Oryctolagus cuniculus: one gene and its partner. The protein of the gene in region 1 purifies or fractionates together with the protein of each later gene. This does not show direct contact. Links are inferred from orthologs where the notes say so. Each region holds a gene or a part of one and is shown in the gene's direction. Other genes may lie near its edges.

Evidence for each region. Proteins that work in one complex are often made in the same cells at the same time.
Region 2: the proteins of EEF1A1 (region 1) and EEF2 fractionate together in Homo sapiens (co-fractionation; 3 studies listed by BioGRID). This does not show direct contact. The link is inferred for Oryctolagus cuniculus from reciprocal best matches to the Homo sapiens genes EEF1A1 and EEF2.

What each region holds. Positions count from the first base shown.
Region 1 is NC_091436.1:99,026,973-99,032,142, forward strand, and holds EEF1A1 (elongation factor 1-alpha 1), read left to right. Parts: upstream 1-2,142; 5' UTR 2,143-2,170; coding exon 2,171-2,314; intron 2,315-2,571; coding exon 2,572-2,751; intron 2,752-2,864; coding exon 2,865-3,161; intron 3,162-3,241; coding exon 3,242-3,392; intron 3,393-3,493; coding exon 3,494-3,750; intron 3,751-3,916; coding exon 3,917-4,151; intron 4,152-4,253; coding exon 4,254-4,378; 3' UTR 4,379-4,663; downstream 4,664-5,170. UniProt on the Homo sapiens protein: Translation elongation factor that catalyzes the GTP-dependent binding of aminoacyl-tRNA (aa-tRNA) to the A-site of ribosomes during the elongation phase of protein synthesis.
Region 2 is NC_091447.1:59,310,096-59,313,403, forward strand, and holds the end of EEF2 (elongation factor 2), read left to right. Parts: coding exon 1-89; intron 90-305; coding exon 306-413; intron 414-847; coding exon 848-1,201; intron 1,202-1,360; coding exon 1,361-1,543; intron 1,544-1,645; coding exon 1,646-1,778; intron 1,779-1,898; coding exon 1,899-2,092; 3' UTR 2,093-2,395; downstream 2,396-3,308. UniProt on the Homo sapiens protein: Catalyzes the GTP-dependent ribosomal translocation step during translation elongation.

The sequences.
Region 1 (5,170 bases):
GGCCGAATCTCATTTATGCTAAAATATAGTTACAATCAATAACAGTTACGATCAACAGGCCAACAGAAAAGGAAGACATGTACTTCAATGGGGGAGGGGGGCTTTCAGAGCAGTGGCTTCGCAGCAAGTGTTGGAAATAGGAAGCTGGGAGAAGCTTGCTGATGCTGTAGATCTCAGTCGCTGCGAGATCATGTGGGAAGGCTGAATGCGAAGCATGGCCTCTCGGGCTTGCAGTCGAGTGACAGCACACGATGAAAAAAATGGGACCACGAACTCTCTTCCAGAGTCTTAGCCCAACAAAACCAGGATTAGAAGTACAGCTAACGGTAGGACTGAAGTCTGTTCTAAACTGAAACACCCAACATCTGGAGAACCCCAGGCGGCGACTTGTATCACGGGCGTCCAGAAAGGCGACAGGCTTTGGTGGAACGAGCCCAGGAGCAGATGCGTGGTGCTCGCGGCCATCGGGCAGAGCCCCTCCCGGCTTCTCGCTCCCCGAGCCCTTAGCCCCGCGCTGCCCCGAGTCCCGGGGCCTTGCACGCCTCTCCCGACCGGAGGGGCGCAGAAGGCAGAGGCGAGGGAGCAGCAGGACCCGGCCGTGATCCACAGAGGAAGAGGCTCCGGGGCTTCCTCTCAGACCAGCGAGGCGCCAAGGCTGAGGACTGGGCGGGAAGACACCCCGAACCTCGATACCTCTGCGGTGCAGCGGGGAGAGTGGAAGACCCCGGAGGTGCCCTCGCCGCCGCCCTCCCCCCACCTCTCGCCGCCAGAGCCCAGAGTAATTCATACAAAAGAGGACTCGCCTCAGTCTCGGGGAAGCCCAGGGACCGTCGCTAAACTCCCGTTACCCTAGAACCGAGAGATCGCCGCGTCCCCGCCCCCTACCCCTCGCGCTCGTCGTCACCGGGACCGAGGCGAGCATGCGCGAGGCGCTGTGTGCTCGTCAGTGGTCGGAGCGCACATCGCCCACGGTCCCCGAGGCGTTGGGGGAGGGGACGGCGATTGAACCGGTGCCTAGTGGAGGTGGCGCGGGGCAAACTGGGAAAGCGGTGTCGTGTGCTGACTCCGCCCTCTTCCCGAGGGTGGGGGAGAACCGTATATAAGTGCCGTAGTCGCCCTGGACGTTCTTTTTCGCAACGGGTTTGCCGCCAGAACACAGGTGAGTGTCGGGTGTGGCTTCCGCGGGTCTGGCCTTGAGCGGGCTGGGGCCCTCGCGTGCTCGGGGACACTGCCATGCCACTGAGCCTCTTGACGAGGTTCCTGGCTCCGAATTTCGGGCTGTAACGGGGCGGGAGGGTTGGAGGTTTGCGCGTTTTCCAGGAGCCTCTTCCTCGTGCTGGAGTTGAGGCCTGGCGTGGCCGCCGCGTGCGAGTCCTCTCGCCTTCGCGCCGGCCTGGCTAGCCTCGCTCGCGGGGCCCTTCGGCCCTTTGAGTTTTTACGTGGATCGGTACGGCTCTTTTTTTGTTCGTCGAGATGGGCCCGCCGAGGCCGGGCGGGCTACCCCGCGCGTTCGTCGTCCGGCCCGAGGGGGTGGCAGGGCGGCCGCGCGGCGTAGGGACAGCGAGCGGCGGGGCCCGCCCGTCCGGGCGCACATGTCGGGCGCGGCCTGGGCGAGGCCCGACGGCGCCGCGCCTGCCCAGGCCGGGCGAGGGGAGAGGCGAGGGTCGTGGGGCGGGCGGCTCGGTGGGGCCGCGGCCGCCCCACCCCGGGCGGCGGAGCCCGGCCCGCTCGGCACCAGTTGCGTGCGCGGAAAAAGATGGCCGCTCGCCGTCCCCGCTGCAGGGAGCTCAAAATGGAGGACGCGGTGGCCCGGGAGAGCGGGCGGGTGAGTCACCCACACAAAGGAAAAGAGCCTTCCCCTCTTCGGCCGCCGCTTCCTGCGACCCCACGGGGTACAGGGCGCCGTCTGGGCACCTGGCTTCTTCGTGTGGCCTTTGGAGTTCGGCTTGGCTCGGCTGGGGGCGGAGATTTTTTAGGCGATGGAGTTAACTCACTCGGTGGGTGGAGACTGAAGAGTTAGGCCAGCTTGGCATTGGATGTAATTCTCCTTGGAATTTGCCCTTTTGAGTTTTGAACGTGGCTTAGTCTCAACCCTCGGACAGTGGTTCAAAGGTTCCCCCCCTTTTTCCATTTTAGGTGTCGTGAAAACCACCGCTAAATCAAAGCCAAAATGGGAAAGGAAAAGACTCACATCAACATCGTCGTCATTGGCCACGTAGATTCGGGCAAGTCCACCACCACTGGCCATCTGATCTACAAATGTGGTGGCATCGACAAAAGAACCATTGAAAAATTTGAGAAGGAGGCTGCCGAGGTATGTCCAGTATCGCAAGGGAAAGATGCTGAATTACATTAAGTCTGGCCACTAAAATGAGAGTGCTATGACTATAAAAGACAACAGTGATTAGTTGTCTGAATGTGAATGTTAAAATCACGAGCCACCATATCGACTGGAGAGCCACCTAGGCCCAGCAGTTTGGGAAGCGGAATGCATTCCCAAGCGGAGGGGGGCATGGGGTTTCAAGCTTTGCTGTGTCTTAGTAACCGTCTGAGTGCTCTGTGTAATTACAGATGGGAAAGGGCTCCTTCAAGTATGCCTGGGTCTTGGATAAACTGAAAGCCGAGCGTGAGCGTGGTATCACCATCGACATCTCCCTGTGGAAATTTGAGACCAGCAAGTATTACGTGACTATCATTGATGCCCCAGGACACAGAGACTTCATCAAAAACATGATTACAGGCACATCTCAGGTTTGTGCAACTAGTAACTGTAGACATAAGGTTTTCTAGGCGGGGGGTGGGTGAGTTCCTCCTTAGGTTTGAGGTACCTTCGTTCACAGTGTGTGTCCTTGATTTCTTTAAAGGCTGACTGTGCCGTCCTGATTGTTGCTGCTGGTGTCGGGGAATTTGAAGCTGGTATCTCCAAGAACGGGCAGACCCGTGAGCATGCCCTTCTGGCTTACACGCTGGGTGTGAAACAGCTAATTGTTGGTGTTAACAAGATGGATTCCACTGAGCCACCCTACAGCCAGAAGAGATACGAGGAAATCGTTAAGGAAGTCAGCACCTACATTAAGAAAATTGGCTACAACCCTGACACAGTAGCATTTGTGCCAATTTCTGGTTGGAACGGTGACAACATGCTGGAGCCAAGTGCTAATGTAAGTGACTTTCAAGACAGTGCTTGTTAAAGAGCTGGAAGTGGTGATGTGATAGAATTAATTGTTCTCTTGTGTTTCAGATGCCGTGGTTCAAGGGATGGAAAGTCACCCGCAAAGATGGCAATGCCAGTGGAACCACACTGCTTGAAGCCCTGGACTGCATCCTTCCACCAACTAGACCAACTGACAAGCCTCTGCGTCTGCCCCTACAGGATGTCTACAAAATTGGTGGTAAGTTGGGTATTAATGTAACATCAGAATATAACTTGAATTGGAACAGGTGAAAAATCTTTGGCCCTCAATAACTCTTTGGTAATCTGCAAATATTTTAGGTATTGGCACTGTCCCTGTGGGCCGAGTGGAGACTGGTGTTCTCAAACCTGGCATGGTGGTAACTTTTGCTCCAGTCAATGTCACAACTGAAGTCAAGTCCGTCGAAATGCACCATGAAGCTTTGAGTGAAGCTCTTCCTGGGGACAATGTGGGCTTCAATGTCAAGAACGTGTCTGTCAAAGATGTTCGTCGTGGCAACGTTGCTGGTGACAGCAAAAATGACCCACCAATGGAAGCAGCTGGCTTCACTGCTCAGGTAACAATTTAAAATGATCTGTTAATTGACAATGTTCATGCATACTCAAGGGGGTAAGCAATCTGATGCATGTATGAAGTGTTATCACATCAGGGGAGTTAGCATTTCTAGCTGTTACCACAGTTCAGTTTGAGAAGCACTAAAATGCATATCCTTTTTTTCCCAGGTGATCATCCTGAACCATCCAGGTCAGATCAGTGCTGGGTATGCCCCTGTACTGGATTGTCACACAGCTCACATTGCTTGCAAGTTTGCTGAGCTGAAGGAAAAGATTGATCGTCGTTCTGGAAAGAAGTTGGAAGATGGCCCTAAATTCTTGAAATCTGGTGATGCTGCCATTGTTGATATGGTTCCCGGCAAGCCCATGTGTGTTGAGAGCTTCTCTGACTATCCTCCTCTGGGTAAGGATTTTTTTTTTTATTGCTATTACAAGTTGTACTAAAGATTAACAATTGCTTCTGTGAACTATGTGTCTCATGGCAACTCAATACTTGTTTTAATAGGTCGTTTCGCTGTCCGTGATATGAGACAGACGGTTGCTGTGGGTGTGATCAAAGCAGTGGACAAGAAGGCTGCTGGAGCTGGCAAGGTCACCAAGTCTGCCCAGAAAGCTCAGAAGGCTAAATGAATATTACCCCTAATACCTGCCACCCCAGTCTTAATCAGTGGTGGAAGAACGGTCTCAGAACTGTTTGTCTCAATTGGCCATTTAAGTTTAATAGTAAAAGACTGGTTAATGATAACAATGCATCGTAAAACCTTCAGAAGGAAAGGAGAATGTTTTGTGGACCATTTTTTTTGTGCGTGGCAGTTTTAAGTTATTAGTTTTTAAAATCAGTACTTTTTAATGGAAACAACTTGACCAAAAATCTGTCACAGAATTTTGAGACCCATTAAAACAAAGTTTAATGAGAAACCTGTGTCTTCTTGTCAACACTGGACCTGTCAAATGTGTTCCAGGTTTTTCTAATTAGAATTGGCTGGAATTTTAAAACTCCATGGGTTAGGGATTTTTTCCCACCTGTTTGTTTTAAGCTATGGAGGGCTGTTAGCCCTGCTGGTTAGAACTGTTGACATGTAATTTAGTTTAGAAAGCAAAATTCTGTAATCTTAAGGGATGAAATGTTGCATATAAAATTGTGTAGCTACAAGTAAATTTGTTAGAATCATTAAATTTTGGTTTCCCAAATTACTTGAAGTTTTAGTAAAACAGCACTGGTTTCTAGGGTCCTAAGAAAACGTAAAAAGTGGTTTCCTGATGTAAGTGAGAACACCATTTCTAACAGATTTCTTCTAAAGCAGTTTGGTAAAGGATTTGTAGCCTGACATAAGAAGTGGACCACAGATGATCAGAATTAAGATACAGGAAGGTGGGGAAAGCATATTTTCAAATAAGCTTTATTCTTGAGGTTCATAGTGG
Region 2 (3,308 bases), on another chromosome or scaffold:
GCGTGGCCGTGGAGGCCAAGAACCCGGCCGACCTGCCCAAGCTGGTGGAGGGCCTGAAGCGGCTGGCCAAGTCGGACCCCATGGTGCAGGTGGGCGGCGGGGCCGGGCGGGCGGCGGGGCCGGGGGGAGGGGGCTCCGGGCTGGCCGAGCGGGGAGGGGGCTCAGGGCTGGCTGAGCGGGGAGGGGGCTCCGGGCTGGCTGAGCGGGGAGGGGGCTCCGGGCTGGCTGAGCGGGGAGGGGGCTCCGGGCTGGCTGAGCGGGGAGGGGGCTCCGGGCCGGCTGACGTGCCGAGCCCCTGCCCGCAGTGCATCATCGAGGAGTCGGGTGAGCACATCATCGCGGGCGCCGGCGAGCTGCACCTGGAGATCTGCCTCAAGGACCTGGAGGAGGACCACGCCTGCATCCCCATCAAGGTGCGGGGCCGCGCCCCGTCCTCCCTGCCCTGTCCATGCCCGCCCCTGTCCTCCCCCGCCCCTGTCCCCCCCCCCGCCCTGCCCTCCCCCACCCCTGTCCCCCCCCCGCCCCTGTCCTCCCCCGCCCTGTCCTCCCCGCCCCTGTCCCCCCTGCCCTGTCCTCCCCCACCCCTGTCCTCCCCCGCCCCTGTCCCCCCCCCGCCCTGTCCTCCCCTGCCCCTGTCCTCCCCCGCCCCTGTCCTCCCCCGCCCTGTCCTCCCCGCCCCTGTCCCCCCCGCCCCTGTCCTCCCCCGCCCCTGTCCCCCCCGCCCTGTCCTCCCCGCCCCTGTCCTCCCCCCTGCCCTGTCCTTGCCCGCCCCTGTCCCCCCTGCCCTGTCCCCCCCGCCCCTGTCCCCCCCCCGCCCCACAGCGCCTGACCGCCGGCCTGCCTGCAGAAATCCGACCCGGTGGTGTCCTACCGCGAGACGGTGAGCGAGGAGTCCAGCGTGATGTGCCTCTCCAAGTCCCCCAACAAGCACAACCGGCTGTACATGAAGGCGCGCCCCTTCCCCGACGGCCTGGCCGAGGACATCGACAAGGGCGAGGTGTCCGCGCGCCAGGAGCTCAAGCAGCGGGCCCGCTACCTGGCCGAGAAGTACGAGTGGGACGTGGCCGAGGCCCGCAAGATCTGGTGCTTCGGGCCCGACGGCACCGGCCCCAACATCCTCACCGACATCACCAAGGGGGTGCAGTACCTCAACGAGATCAAGGACAGCGTGGTGGCCGGCTTCCAGTGGGCCACCAAGGAGGTGAGGCGGGCGGGGCCGGGCGGGGGCCGGGGGCGGGGAGAGCGGGGCTGGGGGGCGGGGAGAGCGGGGCCGGGGGGCGGGGAGAGCGGGGCCGGGGGGCGGGGAGAGCGGGGCCGGGGGCGGGGAGAGCGGCGCCGCCCTGACCCGCCCCTCCCCCAGGGCGCGCTGTGCGAGGAGAACATGCGGGGCGTGCGCTTCGACGTGCACGACGTGACGCTGCACGCCGACGCCATCCACCGCGGGGGCGGCCAGATCATCCCCACGGCCCGGCGCTGCCTCTACGCCAGCGTGCTCACCGCGCAGCCCCGCCTCATGGAGCCCATCTACCTGGTGGAGATCCAGGTGAGGCCGGCGCCCCGCCCCCCGCCCCGCCCCTGCCCCGCCCCCGCCCCGCGCCCGCCCCGCCCCCCGCCCCCGCCGCAACCCGGGCCCCTCTCCCCGCAGTGCCCTGAGCAGGTGGTCGGGGGCATCTACGGGGTGCTGAACCGGAAGCGCGGCCACGTGTTCGAGGAGTCGCAGGTGGCCGGCACGCCCATGTTCGTGGTCAAGGCCTACCTGCCCGTCAACGAGTCCTTCGGTGAGCCCTGGCGCGGGGCGGGCTGAGGGCGGCAAGCGTCGCGGGCCCGGCGGGCACTGTCCGGCGCGAGGGGACGCTGCCCGCAGCTCCGGCCTGCTGACCCGCCTGCCTCCGCCCCAGGCTTCACCGCCGACCTGCGCTCCAACACGGGCGGCCAGGCCTTCCCGCAGTGCGTGTTCGACCACTGGCAGATCCTGCCCGGCGACCCCTTCGACAACAGCAGCCGCCCCAGCCAGGTGGTGGCCGAGACGCGCAAGCGCAAGGGCCTGAAGGAGGGCATCCCGGCGCTGGACAACTTCCTGGACAAGTTGTAGGGCCCGGCCGCCCGCCCCGCCGGCGCCCCGCCCCCGCCGGCCCGCCCCCGCGCTCCGGGCTCCCGTATTTATTCCGGACTCGGGGCGGCAGCGCGCCCTCTGCGCAGGGACTCGGCCGAGGGGCCGCGGGGGGCGCCCGACCCGTTTCGTTTCTTCCGGGACCGTGGACGTGCAGGGTTCCAGGAGGGTCGCGCCGAGAGGTTGGGGGCGGCGCCCGCAGCTCGTCTCCCCGGAGCCGGGAGGGGCAGGCGGGCCGCGTCCTGCAGCGCGCGCCGTGGAGGAATAAATGGAGTGGTGACCATGCACAGCGCCCGGGCTCCGTCCTCTCGCTCGGCCGACGCCGCGCTGGCGCCGCTCTGCCCTGGAACGCCCAGGGTCCCGGGAAGCCTGGTGCCCGGTGCAGGGGGCTGGACGGGTGCGGCCGGGAAGGAAGCGGAGGGGCCCTGGGCTCCCTGAGGCGCTGGCCACCAGCCAGGTGCTGTCCCCAGGGTGCACCCGCAGGAACGGCCAGGAGCGGCATCTCCCACGCTGCCCTGGGAGGGCCCTGGGAGCACGGACTCTGTCCTGACTGGGGGCGGGGAGGGTGGGGGCGGCCAGGTCCCTGTCCTCAGACCTCCGGGGGTGGGGGCTCCCTCAGCAGAGCCGGCGGTGGCGCCGAGCCCGGGCTCCTGGCCCGCAGTGGACGGGGCAGTGACCTGGTGGGCGTCGGGGGCAGGCTTGTGACGCCCGCCCCAGCCCCGGGAGGCCCTGCCGGCCGGGACACCCACGTGTCAGAGGCCCACACCCAGCCCTGGCTCCAGCTCTGGCCTTGGCCCTGGCTGTTGGGGCGTTCGGGGAGTGGACCCGTGGGCAGGAGACTGTCTCCGTTGGTAATAAAACGGCTAAGTGGACATAAGAAACGGCCGCCGCCACCCGTGGGGGAGAGACCCAGAGACGGGAGCTGAAGTCACGTGTTTGCAGATGAGGTCGTGGGTTAGAGTTTCATCCGCCGGATTTCTCCCCAAGGCAGGAGCCAGGCGGTCCGTCCAGGGGTCCACCGGGGGCCCCGTGACGCTGGCTGACGTCATTTGCACCTTTGCGCACTTAGCATGAGGGAGCCATTTCACCGAGGGGGGGCTTGCTGCGCGCACTGAAGCCGCCCCGGCGGCCGCCCGGGTCTGCGCCGTGGAGTCGCCCTCCGCGGGGTCCGCGGGGTCCGCGGGGTCCGCGGGGTCCG